Linked DNA regions of Yarrowia lipolytica. The protein of the gene in region 2 purifies or fractionates together with the protein of the main gene of each other region. This does not show direct contact. Links are inferred from orthologs where the notes say so. Each region holds a gene or a part of one and is shown on either strand. Other genes may lie near its edges. The genes, in order: YALI1_F19106g, YALI1_B21714g, YALI1_D11151g and YALI1_E06882g.

Region 1 (3,296 bases), on a different chromosome or scaffold from region 2:
CAGCAACAGGGAGGGGACTTTGGAGGTTTTGGAAACATGCAGCAACAGACCAACAGCGGTTTTGGGAACATGCAACAGGCTAACAGCGGATTTGGCGGGTTTGGTGGAGCTCCTCAGCAGCAGAACAACGCTCACAACGACTGGGCCGATGCCGCCGCTCCCAAGAAGCAGGAGGATGACGTTTTTGCCAACGTCTGGAAATAATAATTTTAATACACTTAGCTAATAATTAGATATCGGTCATAGATCCATCAACCGTGAGCATTGAGCAGACCAATCCAGTAGCACCAAGCATCGAACAAAGGAGCCAGAGTAACGATAACTTGCGACATACGAATTACGTATCTACGCTCAAGACTGACTGTCCATGATTCCAACTACAAGATATAAAGCTCATTATTAATATTACAGGTTTATTAGACCTAACTAGTAGTAATATGTTTCCCCATAAATATACGAGACATGCAACAATAAGATAATTCCGACTCCAAGATCCAACATGAGACTTTTCTTTCTAAACTAAGCCAGAGAAGTTCTCTGCTTCTTCTTCTTTGCACCCTCGGCGACTCCGGCAGCAGCCTTCTTGGGCACTCGGACGTCAGAGACGGGGGTGTACTTGTAATCGATACCCATCTCACCAAGCTTCTTCAGCTTGGCATCGAGCAGAGATGCAGACTCTTTCTTGAGCTGGTCCCACTTTGCTCGGGATCGGGGTCTCTCATTCTTGTACTGAGCAACCTGAGCTCTTGGCAGGACTCGGAAAGTCTTGTTAGCTCCCTCAAAGAGAGCCTCGTGAACCTCATCGTCAGGAACAACCTTGCATTTAAGAATGTGGCCGAAGAGCAGGTAGTTGTTCATGGTCTCGGCAGCTACCTGGGCCACCTCCTTGGACTCGAACTCGATGAAGGCGTAATGCTTGGAGGCACCGGTAGTCTTGTTTCTGGAAAGACGCAGTCGAGAAATATCACCAAACTGGCTGAAATATGAGTGCATCTGCTCCTCGTAGAAACCATGGGGGATTCGACCCAGATAGATGACGCCGGTTCCAGACTTTTTGGATGCCTTTGTGGTAGCAGCAGCTCGATTGGACTTGGCTACTGCGGTCTTCTTGACGGTAGCAGGGGTATCATCCATAGTCTCATCCTCGTCATCTCCATTCTCAAACTCCTCTTCGTCGTCACTACTCTCAAATCCAGCCTCATCCTGTTCCTCGTCCTCCGAGGAAGAGAATTTGGAGAAATCGTCGGAGGTGGCGGGAGCAGCGACCTTAGTGGCGGTCTTAGACACTCCAACCTTCTTGGTTCCGTTGGAGGACTTGAGGCCCTTTTTTAATGCACTGGACTTCATGGTTGTGTTTGTGTGTATGAGAGAGGAAATCTGCACCTGTTACCTCACACAAAATATTTTTTTTTTACTGCTGGGACAGAATTTTTGCATAAGCTTCAATGCCGAAGCTTATCTGCAGCTGTGATACATTAAGAGTGAAGAGGCTGACTAAGCAATAAGGGTCATTATAGAGAGGAAAACAATAATGATGACAAAGATACTCGTACACTGTTACTCGTGTATTCACGACATCAACGATATGCCTCAGGGATGCTCCCGGATGATATGACTTATCAATAGCAGAAGTAACACTACAGGGAAACTAAAAATATATATACGCTACCACGTACACGAAAAACTATGAAATCAAAGCTACGATGGCAACATAATTTTGGTCTATTACTACCACGGATGGTGGATAAATTACTTTATAGAAGTACTCGTCGAGACTCTTACTTCTGGGCAGGGGGGGCGCCACCAGCGGTGGGGAGACCAACAATACCCTTGAAAGAGTCGTAGATGAGCCACTGGAGACCAGTGAGGGTACCGACCATGACGATTCGGACACCGAGACCGTTCCAGAGACCACCGAAGCCAATCTTCTTGTAGATTCGGGAGACGGCCTGGCCGGTGGACTCACCGGGCTGCTTCTCGGAGTTAATCTTGGAGACCATAACATCAGCGGGGTGGGAGACAATAGCACAGAAGACACCAGCAATGTAACCACCGAGGAAGGAGACACCAGTCTGGGCAAGGAAGGAGTAGTCCTTCTTGGGGTAGGGCAGGTAAGAGTAGATGAGCTCAACGGTTCGCTCGAAAGTAGCGAACTTAACCATGGTGTAGGGAACCTGTCGGGCCCAGAGGGGGGTAAGACCCTTGTAGAGGCCGGCAACACCCTCAGCGGCGACCATCTTCTTCATACCATCGAAAGCACCGGTAGCGAAGGGGGGGATGGTGGTCTGGGTCTTGACCTTGACGGCCTCCCAGGGACAGAGCAGAATATCAGCGAGAACCTCAGCGGAGGCGGAGGCAGCGAGGTAGACAAAGGTCTTGTACTTCTCGGCGTTCTCGGCGCCAACGAAGTCACCGTACTTCTTCTTGAACAGCTCGTAGAAACCGTACTTACCAGCACCCTGGAGAGAGTAACCGATAAGAGTGGCACCGACACCGGTCCAGATACCACCCATACCCTCAGAGGCAATGATGGATCTCCAGGCCTGCATGTTGGAGGAGTAGAGAGCGGGGTTCACCTGTCGTCGGCACTTGACGAGATCAAGAGGGGTGACGAGAGCGTGGGTAACACCACAGGCGAGCATACCACCGGCAACACAGGTGGCGTAGAACTCAGGGGAGTAGAGCTTGATGCCCTTGGCCTTCTGGGCCTTGATGGCATCGCCGGCCTTAGCGACCTCGGCCTTAGCATCAGAGACGAGAGCGTCAGCCTTCTTCTCGACCTTCTCGACGGTCTTGTCGAGAGAAGATCGGACGTTGAAAGCACCAGCACGGGCGCCGTTGGGGTCGAAGGAGGCCTGAATGGCGGAAACAGATGGGAAGAGAGCCATTGTGGTGATTTGATTCAGACTACTGATGGAGAAAAGGAAAACCCGGGAGGAAGGGATGACGAGAAAATAGGAAAAGCTGGAACCCTAAATTTGACCCAATAACAACGCGAGTTGAATTTACCTTGTCCAATCCAGAGCTTATTTTCAGCAAATCGGTAGTTGCACACAGGGAAAGAGACCACGCGGACCGTTCAACATCACATAATGATGCGATTGGAAATTGGAGCACTGGCAATTGGTTCTCGTTGGGTCAATTGAACAATCCGGATATTCCGAACACCGTTTTCATTGCCCATTGAGCCATTTTTGCATGTACTATGGATCTAATGCACCTGGTGGCTGACGTATCCATTTTTCAGAGTTTGGGTGGTTTTCTGCATAGCTCTCGGTTCTGAAGCAATTTGGCTT
Region 2 (3,686 bases):
TTATAGGAATGTGGCACATCCTGAGACTACGTACATCAAACTCACATACAGTTTCGAGAGCGAAGATATTAAAATGTGAGACAAACAGGGGATATTCTTCAACGTCAGCCCGAGCTTGCAGAATGGTCAGTTGAGTCTGTGTGCGTTACAACTACAGTACGTTCATAAACCAACTACGGCGGTACAGATACTGTAAATTAAAGTATATACTATTGGGTACACTACTAATTACTGTAAAAGTGCTAGTGATGTGCGAGTAGTGCTGACACATCCGTTCTCTGACATGTTTGGTGACACAAATGACACGATGAATATGTTTCATCGTTTGATTCCCATCGCAAAACTCCCTGGAAGACAGTTTTAGATTTGCCACATGTAAGATACCAGACCTGCTATGATGTACAATACCCACGCTCTCTGAGTCTCGATGGTTGTGACCATATTCTATCTTTATGAAATTCGCTCTTACTGCACTTCCTTTTGGTTGTTCTGGTTCTGAAGACACTGCTTCTAAATCTTATAATACATTAATTACATCTACGCCGACTTGAGCTTCTTCTTGCCCTCGTCGTTGCCAGCGACCCTTCTCTTGTTGCTCTTCTTCTCGACCTTGTCTAGATCGTTCCACAGCTCGTCATCCTCCTTCTCAGCTGTTTCCTCCACATGCTTTTCCTGGGCTGTCTTTCGCTCGGTATCCACGAAAAGCAGAGAGGACACTTGGGTACCCACGAACATCTTTGCAGTGCACTCGGTGGTCTCGAGATCAAAAATTCGAAGGTATCGGTCAAGACCAACGGTAGCCAACAAACCATTGTCGGTGGTAACTAAATGCAAAACGGCACCGAGAGATCCGGGGAACTTCTCGACGACACAGGGAGACTTTCTGTTGTGTTCCTTGTTCTGGTTGTTGTCTTTGTTTTTCAGTACAATCTTCTCATTGTCTGCAAAGTTGAACTTGAACGTAGAGGAGTGGGCATCTGAAGAGACGACGTTGGAGGCATCCATACCGGGTGCCAAGGTTCGCAGAGGATCCTTTGTCACCTTGAAGTCCCACTTCGGTCGCTTTCCATGCCATGTCTCATACACTCTGATCTGTCCATGTCTGGTGGCAGTGATGACTCTGAATCCATCCTTGTCAGAAGCCTGGAAAAGAATTCCAGAAATCCACACCGGCACCCGCATATCGATTTCGTTGGACTTGACATTTCGGGCCTGAAACTCGGATCTCACGGTGACTTCGTCACCTTTAACAGCCCATCCAAACACCTCCAAATCTCGCTCCTTTCCACCCACGGCAATCTTGCCAGGATACAGCTCCCTGTCCAGAGCGAAGCATGCCAAGGGGCCCTTGACAGAGGCAGTGGGGGCGTCGTATGGCTTGTCGGACTCAATGGTGACCTTCGAAACATCGAGGAAAAAGAGTCGACCATCTTCCAGACCGGCAACCACAGTATTGTCGTCATACTGGGTAAGACCAATCCAGGGACATTTTTCTGCCCCCTCAGCAGAGTAGACGAAAATCGGAGTCGACTCCTCGGTCAAAAGGTATGGGTAGACTTCAATGGTACCGTTCTTTCGCGCGGCAGCAATGTATTTGGTGCCCTTTGATGTGGTGACCAGGGCCAGCTTTTGAATGTGCTTCAGTTTACCAAGAGCAGCGAAGGATGTGATGAGGGGCTGAGGTCCGTCCTGGACCGAGGTGTCCATTCCCTCGTCAAAAACAACTTCTTTGATTGCTCCAGTATCTTCGGCGGCCAGAAAAATCTTCATTGTGTACTGTAATGTGATTCCCAGACTTTGCTCGAGATACGATGTTGTCAGACTGCGTGCATGAATTTTTTTAGAGTTTCTGCAGTCGGTCTTGAGCGAAGCGAATAAGTAGAGGGGGCTGTGATACAAAGAGAAAATGGTGACTCCGATTATTGTTGAATTACACGGGGGGAGGAGGGGGGCAGCTTTCTGAATTGCCACCAAGATGATTTACTTTTGAACACTTTTCTTCACCCGTTGAGCAGGAAAGAACTTCTTAAATAAGTCGATAATTGTACAAATTAACGAGTATTACCTTACTTGTACTTGACATATTTGTTGTCATGAAGTCAGCTTGACAGATGGGCCACTCCGAACACCATCTGAGACAGACGCTGTCCTCGCTGTTCCCTGTGACTGTCAACTTTCTTATTGATGGGAACAAGCACGAATGGCACATATGCGATAGGATATTACAGGCTTTGTGCCCCCCATGGCTGGTTTCTACAAGTATATGGCTCATGTATAAACAAGGCAAGTCTACAAGACATGGGCATAATACATAATGATAATAAGTTAGATACTCCTAAAAAGAATTATTAGCTGAGTTGACGGAAGTGCTAGGAGAGTGTCCGATGGGGAAACCGGTCTTCTCAACGGGGCTTCTTCCCTTGGCCTGACGGGGGTGGAAAATGCCAGAGACACCGGAATGGGTGGATCGATGACCCAGGAGACTCTGTTGGGCCGATGAATAAGAAGTATTGGATGCCTGCTGAGTGATCTGGTTGAACAGGTCGTTCAACGAGTTGTTCTCAGTTGACGAAGAGGCGGAATTGAGTGAGGACTCCGACGCCTTTCGGGACATGGCCGGATGAGGAACTCCCAGGTCGGGGAAGGAAGCCACCGACATTTGAGAAGGCGACATGGATGTGGGGGTGAGTTGCGAGGCAGCCATCTTAGCCATCTGCTCCTGCTGCTGCATATGGAGCTGCTCCAGTTGTGACAACTGCTGCAACTGCGAAAGCTGTTGGTTCTGGTGCTGCTGCAACAGGGCCTGCTGCTGAGCCTGCTGTTGGGCTGCGAGTTGCTGCTGGGCCTGCTGCTGGGCCTGCTGCTGGGCCTGCTGCTCAGCAACATACTGAGCCTGGGTCTGAGCCTGGGCCTGAGCCTGGGCCTGTGCTCGGGCCTGGGCCTGCGCTTGAGCCTGAGCCTGAAGTTGGGCCTGTTGTTGAGCAACGAGCTGCTGTTCAAGAGCAGCCATCTGCTGATACTGATACTGGGCGGCAGCCTGATATTGGGCAGCGGCCTGATACTGGGCGGCAGCTTGCTGCTGGGCAATAGCTTGCGCCTGAGCCTGGGATACCTGGTAGTGCTGGGTATTCTGGGCCTGAGAAGCCTGCTGCTGCTGAAGCTGGCTGAGCTGCTCCATCAGCTGATACTGAGCCACCTGTTGAGGAGTGTATTGGCCCTGAACAGGAGTCATGCTACCAACAGGAGTGTGCTGCTGAACAGGAGACAGAACGGGTGAGTAGTGTACTTGGGGGGTCTGTCGACCGGCAGCCTGGAGCTGCTCCAGAAGAGACATCTGAGGAGTCTGGGCCATCTGTCGTTGAACAGGAGATAAGGGCTGAATGGGGCTCACGTAGAAGTTACTCTGAGTCATGGGGGTCATTCGAGCAGCCTGTTGCTGGGCAGCCATCTGTTCAAGAATGGACATGGGCTTCGGGGTCTGAGGGACACCAGGATGATGTTGCTGCTGCACAGGATAATGCTGCTGCAGAGAAGCCTGGCTGGGGACCTGAGCCATACCCTGGTACTGGGGCAGCAGCTGATGCATGGCATGGACCTGCTGGGTCTGTGCGAGGTTTCGAATTTGCGTCAGCTGAGGATGCAGCTGGTTGTCGTGCTGGAAGTCATGAGCCTCTGTCTGGAACATT
Region 3 (3,233 bases), on a different chromosome or scaffold from region 2:
ATAAATAAAAAAGAGATCCAATTGTGAACACGGGTTAGTCCATTGTAACCAGTATAAAAAGATAACTTGACAAGTGCGGACTTCTTGTAGAGAGTGACTGTCGGACACTCTACTGCCAGCGAATTGTGTGCTCCACTAAATGTGAGAATGCTTCTTTCTTTGCTTATTGGAGCGTGAGAAGTTGTATCGCAAACCTGGAATATGTCCATTTCTTGGTCCACAATGAAACAGAAGGTTAGAGTGTGTACAGTGTGTACCTACTGTAGCCAGTTTGTTCTCCTCAATGAAGATATATCTACATGCTGTAATTGTACGCCTTTAAGCCCTGTCCACTCTACCATCGCTTACGACCTCCTTTCTGCGCCTAACAACTATCTGTACGTGAATATTAAATATATGTCTATGTCTTTTATGGATGGATCTCTAGTATCCGTATACTGCTTGCTAGATCCTTGGTGATGTTCTATAGGGAAACCATTTGGAGCCAGATAGCTATGGTCGGAGACTCGGGTTTAAACAAACCCAGCCCACTCGTCCTCCTCGTCCTCCTCGTCCTCCTCGCCAGCGCCCTCGAGCTCCTCGGCAACACCCCACTCGATGAGCAGAGGGTTCTCGAGCACGTCCTCCACACATCGCTTCTGAACGACCGAGTTTTTGGTCTCCTCGGACAGAGTCTCGACTGCCTCGAGAAGCTCGGAAACGGGAACGTCGGCAAACAGCTCCTTGACCAGCTCGGCCTCCTCTTCCTCGTTCTCGGCCTCCTTCTTGTCCTTGAGCACCACCTTGGCCAGCTCTTCTAGATAGATTTCCAGCACGTGGTACCGAATACTGTCGGGGATCTTGGGGTTTTCGGGGTTGAGAGGGATCTTGCTCATCACCTCATTGTGTCGCTCGATCCAGGTCTCGTCCCAGTCCTCCTTGGCAAGTCGCTGGAAGGCGAAGCCCACGTACCGTCTAAGCAGCAGGTAAAACTTGTCGATTCGGTGCTTGTCTAGCGCGAGCCACTCGGCGCTCATAATCTTCCAGAAAGAAGCCAGGAATGTGAAGTAGTTGGTCTCGTGGACAACCAGCAGCAGAGAAGCCATGTCGTCGGCCAGACGCTGCTGTGTTCGAGGTCGGTCGCTGAACCACATGGAGAAGAACAGACCCTTCCACAGCTTAAGCAGTTCGAGCTCACCAAAGGCCTTGGGGGTTCCCAGGAACCGCTTGAGCGAGTTGAGAGTCTCGTCTCGAGTGGGTCGGTCATTGGCAGCCAGCTTCTTGATAAACGGGTAAGCATCGGGGCTTCCGAGCTGGATATCATCCGCGGAGTTGTCTTCCTTCTTAGAGTAGGGCTTATCTGCCTTGATGGCGGCCTTCTTGGACCCCTTTTTCACTTTGCCAGCAGCCATTGTAGTTGTAGTGTCTTGTGGTGGTTTGGATTGTATGCACCTCTATATTTTTTCAATCACTGCAGCTCGAAATTTTTTAGTGCTGCTTGAGAGAAGCATGAAAAAGGCAAAGTTGCAGGCGACCTCAGTTCGAGTCCCATGGTGGTAGCAGTAAATCACAGCAATAGAGCGGGTATCGAAGGAACGACAAAGTCCTTGCAACACTAGAAGCCTCAAAAAGTGTTATAAATATTAATAGGCCAACTCTTCCTATTTCTCGAGACTATACTACCCCCTTACCCTCAACTAAACCTCAACTAAACCACAACTAAAGTCCCAACTAACCTGTTGTCCCCTATCACTCACCCATTTTTAAAACTCTAAAAATACAACAAACGGTGTCCCCACAAAATCCCCCCAAAAAGGCGAAAAAAGCTCAACGGCATGGGAGCCTACACTGCTACAATATCGTCGCTACCGTGGTACTAGCCAAAGAATCAACCGCGTAGGAGGAGCGAACAGACCGATCTGCCCACTCGCTCTCACGTGACCCCATCCACGTGACTGCCCTCACTCAAGCCAACATCTGGGGCCCGCGTATTCCCCGAATCTCACATAACCTCGCCCAGCAGTATGTACGGTTCGGATATCGACGCGCATCTCCTGCCCTAACCCAGATGCCCAATGCAGGCTCCCCCACAAAACCATCTATTGCCGGGACCTAAAAAGTGTAGTGGGTTATAAGCCAGCTGAGACCCCGCGACATCTTACGACACTCTTCCACTGACCACGTCGACATTTGTGTGAATACAACTAGACCCGTCATGCTTCGAGCCGTTTCCAACCACGCCTGTTTGAGACAGGCTCTTTCCAGTACTCGGACTCTGAGAACTGGTCTCCAAAAACATGTCCATAAGACCCAGTTTGTGTCTGTGCGACACGTGTCGACCACTAAACCCACTGAGCGGGCGGAGGTCGAGAAGCCCATTGTTCAGAATGGCGAGCTTGTGTTCCCCGGAGCTCTGCGAACGTCGTTTGTCAACAACATGACTTTTGTGGACCCCACGACCCAGGATTCCATGCCTACTTACCGAGTAGTAGGGCCCGATGGCGTGCAGATTGACAAGTCGTACAAGATTGATCTGCCCGTCGACACCATTCTCAAAATGTACAAGGACATGGTGACTGTGAGCATCATGGACGCCATCATGTTTGACGCACAGAGACAGGGCCGTCTGTCCTTCTACATGGTTTCCGCGGGAGAGGAAGGTATGGCTGTGGGCTCAGCAGCCGCCCTCAAGCCTCAGGATCATGTCTACTCCCAGTACAGAGAGCAGGGAGCGTACATGTATCGAGGATTCACTCTGGACGACTTCATGAACCAGCTCTATGGAAACAAACACGACCAGGGCAAGGGAAGAAACATGCCGGTGCATTATGGCTCCAGAGAGCTCAACATGCATACCATTTCGTCTCCTCTGGCCACCCAGCTGCCTCACGCTGCTGGAACAGCCTACGCTCAGAAGATGGCTGGCGTCGATGGAGTCACCCTGTGCTACATGGGTGAGGGAGCTGCCTCCGAGGGTGATTTCCATGCCGCTCTCAACATTGCTGCTACTCGAAACTGTCCCGTCATCTACTTCTGTCGAAACAACGGCTATGCCATCTCTACTTCTGCCATTGAACAGTACAAGGGAGACGGTATTGCGTCCCGGGCTATTGGTTACGGCATTGAGACAATTCGAGTGGACGGAAACGACATTTTCGCCGTGCATCGAGCCACCAAGAAGGCCCGAGAAATCGCTCTCAGAGACCAGAAGCCCGTTCTCATCGAGGGCATGTCGTACCGAGTGTCTCATCACT
Region 4 (3,261 bases), on a different chromosome or scaffold from region 2:
GTTTGAATTGGTCCGAGTCTACCTGGTGCTCTGGTGCGTGGCCTGTGTTATCCAGCACAAGTCGTTAGGTGGGCAAAAGGTTGGTCATGGTGCAAAGTGTCAGTCAAAAGCATGACTCTATGTCTATTGTCGGTGTCAGGGCTTGAGCCACAGCTGAGTCACATCTCCATCACTGTATCACATTGGAGTCAGATTACACTGTGAAACATTGCAGTATGTTCTAGTACAAGATGTACTTGTATGTTGACATGTTGACTTAGTAATACGTACACATACACAAATGGACCCCACCTCATTATACCGGTACTTGTACTTGTACTTGTAGCTTAAGTTATACCCCTTCAATGTAGATCACACACTGGGTACTTGTGCTCGTACTCGCTATTGTACCCTATCAAATCATCTTCGCTATCTCGTCGCTACAGTATTTACGTTTTCAACCTCATCTAGCTTTGCAGATCTACAGTGGGTATGCTACTCGTACACGTGTAATAAGTTCAACATTCAATCTATTACCTCTGAATAATCAGTTCCTTTTACCTTCCTGTTCTAACCCCGGTTTCGTCGACTCTTGCCGGGTCTCGACTGCTGACGCTTCTTAACAGGAGCGTTATTTCTCTTCTGGTTGAAGCCCGACAGGTCGCCCGAGCTCTCGGAGGTGTTGGCCTTTCGGAATCGCTTCTTGCCACCGAATCCAAATTTGGCATCCTTGGCCTGTCTCTTGTGGTTCTTGCCCTCAATATTATGGTTGTCGGCAGCCGCCTCCTCGACGGCAATGTCAAACTCCTCGGAGGTCATCTCCTGGCCAGCTCGTTTTCGCTTCAAGGACTTGATCTTTTCCAGAGTCTCCTTCTTGTCCTTGGCTCGCTCCTGCAGCTTGTTGTGCTGCACCTTCTTACCAAACTTCTTGAGGTCTCGCTGTCGTCGTGCCTCCTCGGAAGCCTTCTTGGAGGTGGCTTCCTCGATCAGCTTCTGCTTGAGCTTCTCCATGTGTTCGTCGGACTTGACCATCTCGGCAAAGTAGTCCAGAGGTCGGGTAAACGGAACCTTGGCCTTGAGCAGCTCCTTTCGAGCCACCTTGGCAGCATCCAGACCCTGCTTGTAGAACGCCAGCTCCTTCTCCATGTCGTCGTAGATGTCCTTGAGCTCGATGGCTCCAGACGTATGCACAAGGGTGTCGACAAAGGTCATTTTGGCGTAGGGCAACGAGATTCGAGCCTTGGCCTGCATCAGGGCAGGCTTGTTGTTCTTGGTCACCTTCTGGTAGGGGATGGCGTCGTTGTCGGAATCGAGCTCCACATCAGACAGGGGAATGTCCTCCACCTCGTTCTCGACATTCTCAATCTCGGATTCGGACTCGGACAGATCGAGACGGGTGGTGTCGTAAAGCTGGGGAACCTCATCATCGTCTTCCTCATCATCGTCCTCCTCGGCAGCAGCAGCAGCAGCAGCAAGCTTCTTCATCTTTCGAGCCTCCTTTCGAGACAGAACAGGAGTCTTGTCCTCGTCCTCCTCGTCCTCCTCGTCCTCCTCGTCTTCCTCTTCATCATCTTCGTCCTCCTCATCATCTCCATCGTCCTCGTGCGCAATCTGCTGCTTGGCAACTACTGCCAGGTCCTTGGGCTTGGGAAGAACGCCCTTTTTGGCAGTCAGCTTGGCGGCCTTGTCGTTGGCCTTAGCGGCCTTGAGAGAATCCTTCAACTTGGGGGCTCCCATTGTGTGTTCGTGTGTGTGTGTGTGGTGGGTGGGAAATAAGACTATGCACGGGAGGAATTTTTTTGGAAAACCAGAAACTTTTCAGATAGAGTTTGGAGCTGAGAAGGCACAGGATTAACTGGTTCTTGTTCTTAAGAGATTCTTAAGGGAGAAAACATTTGAAATGTAACGAATTACTGGTTGCAATTATTGATATGAAATGTTTAATATTATTTTTACTGTATTTTTATTAGAATAGCAAGTACATTTGTTTTCAATTATTCTTCGCCTCCAAGTAGCGCCTGCCCGTTGAACTTAATGCACCTTGATAAAAACTTGAGCCATGATTTAGAGATGATTAAGCGGGGGGTTTTATTTCTCAAATTAACGGGAGAAATTGGAAAATATTTGAAAAAAATACATAGCGATAAATTAATAAGTGGTGAAGTTGAAAATAGATCAAAGAGCCCTGCCAAGAAGTCACACCAGGTAAATCAATACTGTAATACGAGCTTTAACCAGCTAGACGCATCTGTTGAACACCGACGATACAAATGATTCTGATCGGAGAAGCTGGTGATGAATTATTACATACATGGGCACTGATGTAGGATGGAGGTCAACAGTTGATTCAGGTAGAGTTGACCTTGATAGGTCCCGCAAAAAAGATCAACTTGAATACAAAGAGATCACTACTTGTAGATAAGATCGTAGTTTCCAGAAGATGGCAAGATGGAATGCACCACTCAGCAAATAACTTCTCTGTAGCTGCAGTGCCGCAAGCATCTACCCACTCACACAAGTAACAAACTCTTCAGCAGCCGTAAAGACTCAATTTGCCGTCTATCTCGTCTTATTAGGTTAGAATTATCATCGAGTACCAAGCCCTGTGTCTTGTAATGTCGATGGCCGTTTGCGCCTTATGGCGGCCCGAAAAAAGAAATACCATCAAAGAGGGAATTTGTGAGTGATTTTTCTTGAATATGATGAACTGAGGGAGTGCATATAGTTGGGGCAAAGGCTGGCAACGATGATTTCAGGAAGACTGGCTTACAGTATGTAGCAGGGAACGTAAACTAGTGGGGTCTCAATGTGGAGTCCAGATATCGATTCGGCAGCCCCGTTCAATCATAAATAATAGATTCACCTTGTTTCCGTACCTTTTCCACGGCAAGACACCGTGATACAATTGTGCTCTATCTAACGATCGTACTGAACTGCAAAACTGGTACATACTGTACGTATGCACCATGCCTGTCACCATATTGGCAGATATTGAGTCTGGGTTTGCAAAAAGGAAATAGACAAGAATATGGGGGTGCTGAAAAAGCGTGGCAAAAGCACCTTATCAGCTTTACGAGAAAAGCACTTACCCAGTGCAAACAGAGTGCAGACAGAGTGCAATCAGAGAGTGTTTTGCTGCAAAAAAGTACCTCTGCTGACAAAACCAACAATAGAGGCATTGTATGTACAGAACCGACACCAATTAATGGCCACAGTGATACTAATACCACTTGTAGCACTCACTGCTCGTATAGAACTGGTAGCGCCATCCAGTATCGTACG

Evidence for each region.
Region 1: the proteins of YALI1_B21714g (region 2) and YALI1_F19106g purify together in Saccharomyces cerevisiae (affinity purification with mass spectrometry; 6 studies listed by BioGRID). This does not show direct contact. The link is inferred for Yarrowia lipolytica from reciprocal best matches to the Saccharomyces cerevisiae genes NSA1 and NOP15.
Region 3: the proteins of YALI1_B21714g (region 2) and YALI1_D11151g purify together in Saccharomyces cerevisiae (affinity purification with mass spectrometry; 4 studies listed by BioGRID). This does not show direct contact. The link is inferred for Yarrowia lipolytica from reciprocal best matches to the Saccharomyces cerevisiae genes NSA1 and RRP1.
Region 4: the proteins of YALI1_B21714g (region 2) and YALI1_E06882g purify together in Saccharomyces cerevisiae (affinity purification with mass spectrometry; 6 studies listed by BioGRID, with this or other methods). This does not show direct contact. The link is inferred for Yarrowia lipolytica from reciprocal best matches to the Saccharomyces cerevisiae genes NSA1 and EBP2.

What each region holds. Positions count from the first base shown.
Region 1 is NC_090775.1:1,908,655-1,911,950, reverse strand, and holds YALI1_F19106g (uncharacterized protein), read right to left. Parts: upstream 1,348-3,296; coding exon 520-1,347; downstream 1-519. Other genes in the region: YALI1_F19126g (uncharacterized protein), read left to right, coding at 1-204; YALI1_F19090g (uncharacterized protein), read right to left, coding at 1,779-2,888. UniProt on the Saccharomyces cerevisiae protein: Involved in the biogenesis of the 60S ribosomal subunit. Required for pre-rRNA processing and cytokinesis. Associates with the precursors of the 25S and 5.8S rRNAs.
Region 2 is NC_090771.1:2,169,493-2,173,178, reverse strand, and holds YALI1_B21714g (uncharacterized protein), read right to left. Parts: upstream 1,771-3,686; coding exon 538-1,770; downstream 1-537. Other genes in the region: YALI1_B21675g (uncharacterized protein), read right to left, coding at 2,336-3,686. UniProt on the Saccharomyces cerevisiae protein: Involved in the biogenesis of the 60S ribosomal subunit.
Region 3 is NC_090773.1:1,113,782-1,117,014, forward strand, and holds YALI1_D11151g (uncharacterized protein), read right to left. Parts: upstream 1,392-3,233; coding exon 513-1,391; downstream 1-512. Other genes in the region: YALI1_D11159g (uncharacterized protein), read left to right, coding at 2,195-3,233. UniProt on the Saccharomyces cerevisiae protein: Required for 27S rRNA processing to 25S and 5.8S.
Region 4 is NC_090774.1:686,738-689,998, reverse strand, and holds YALI1_E06882g (uncharacterized protein), read right to left. Parts: upstream 1,717-3,261; coding exon 550-1,716; downstream 1-549. UniProt on the Saccharomyces cerevisiae protein: Required for the processing of the 27S pre-rRNA. Probably involved in the step of the processing of the 27 SA precursor into the 27 SB intermediate.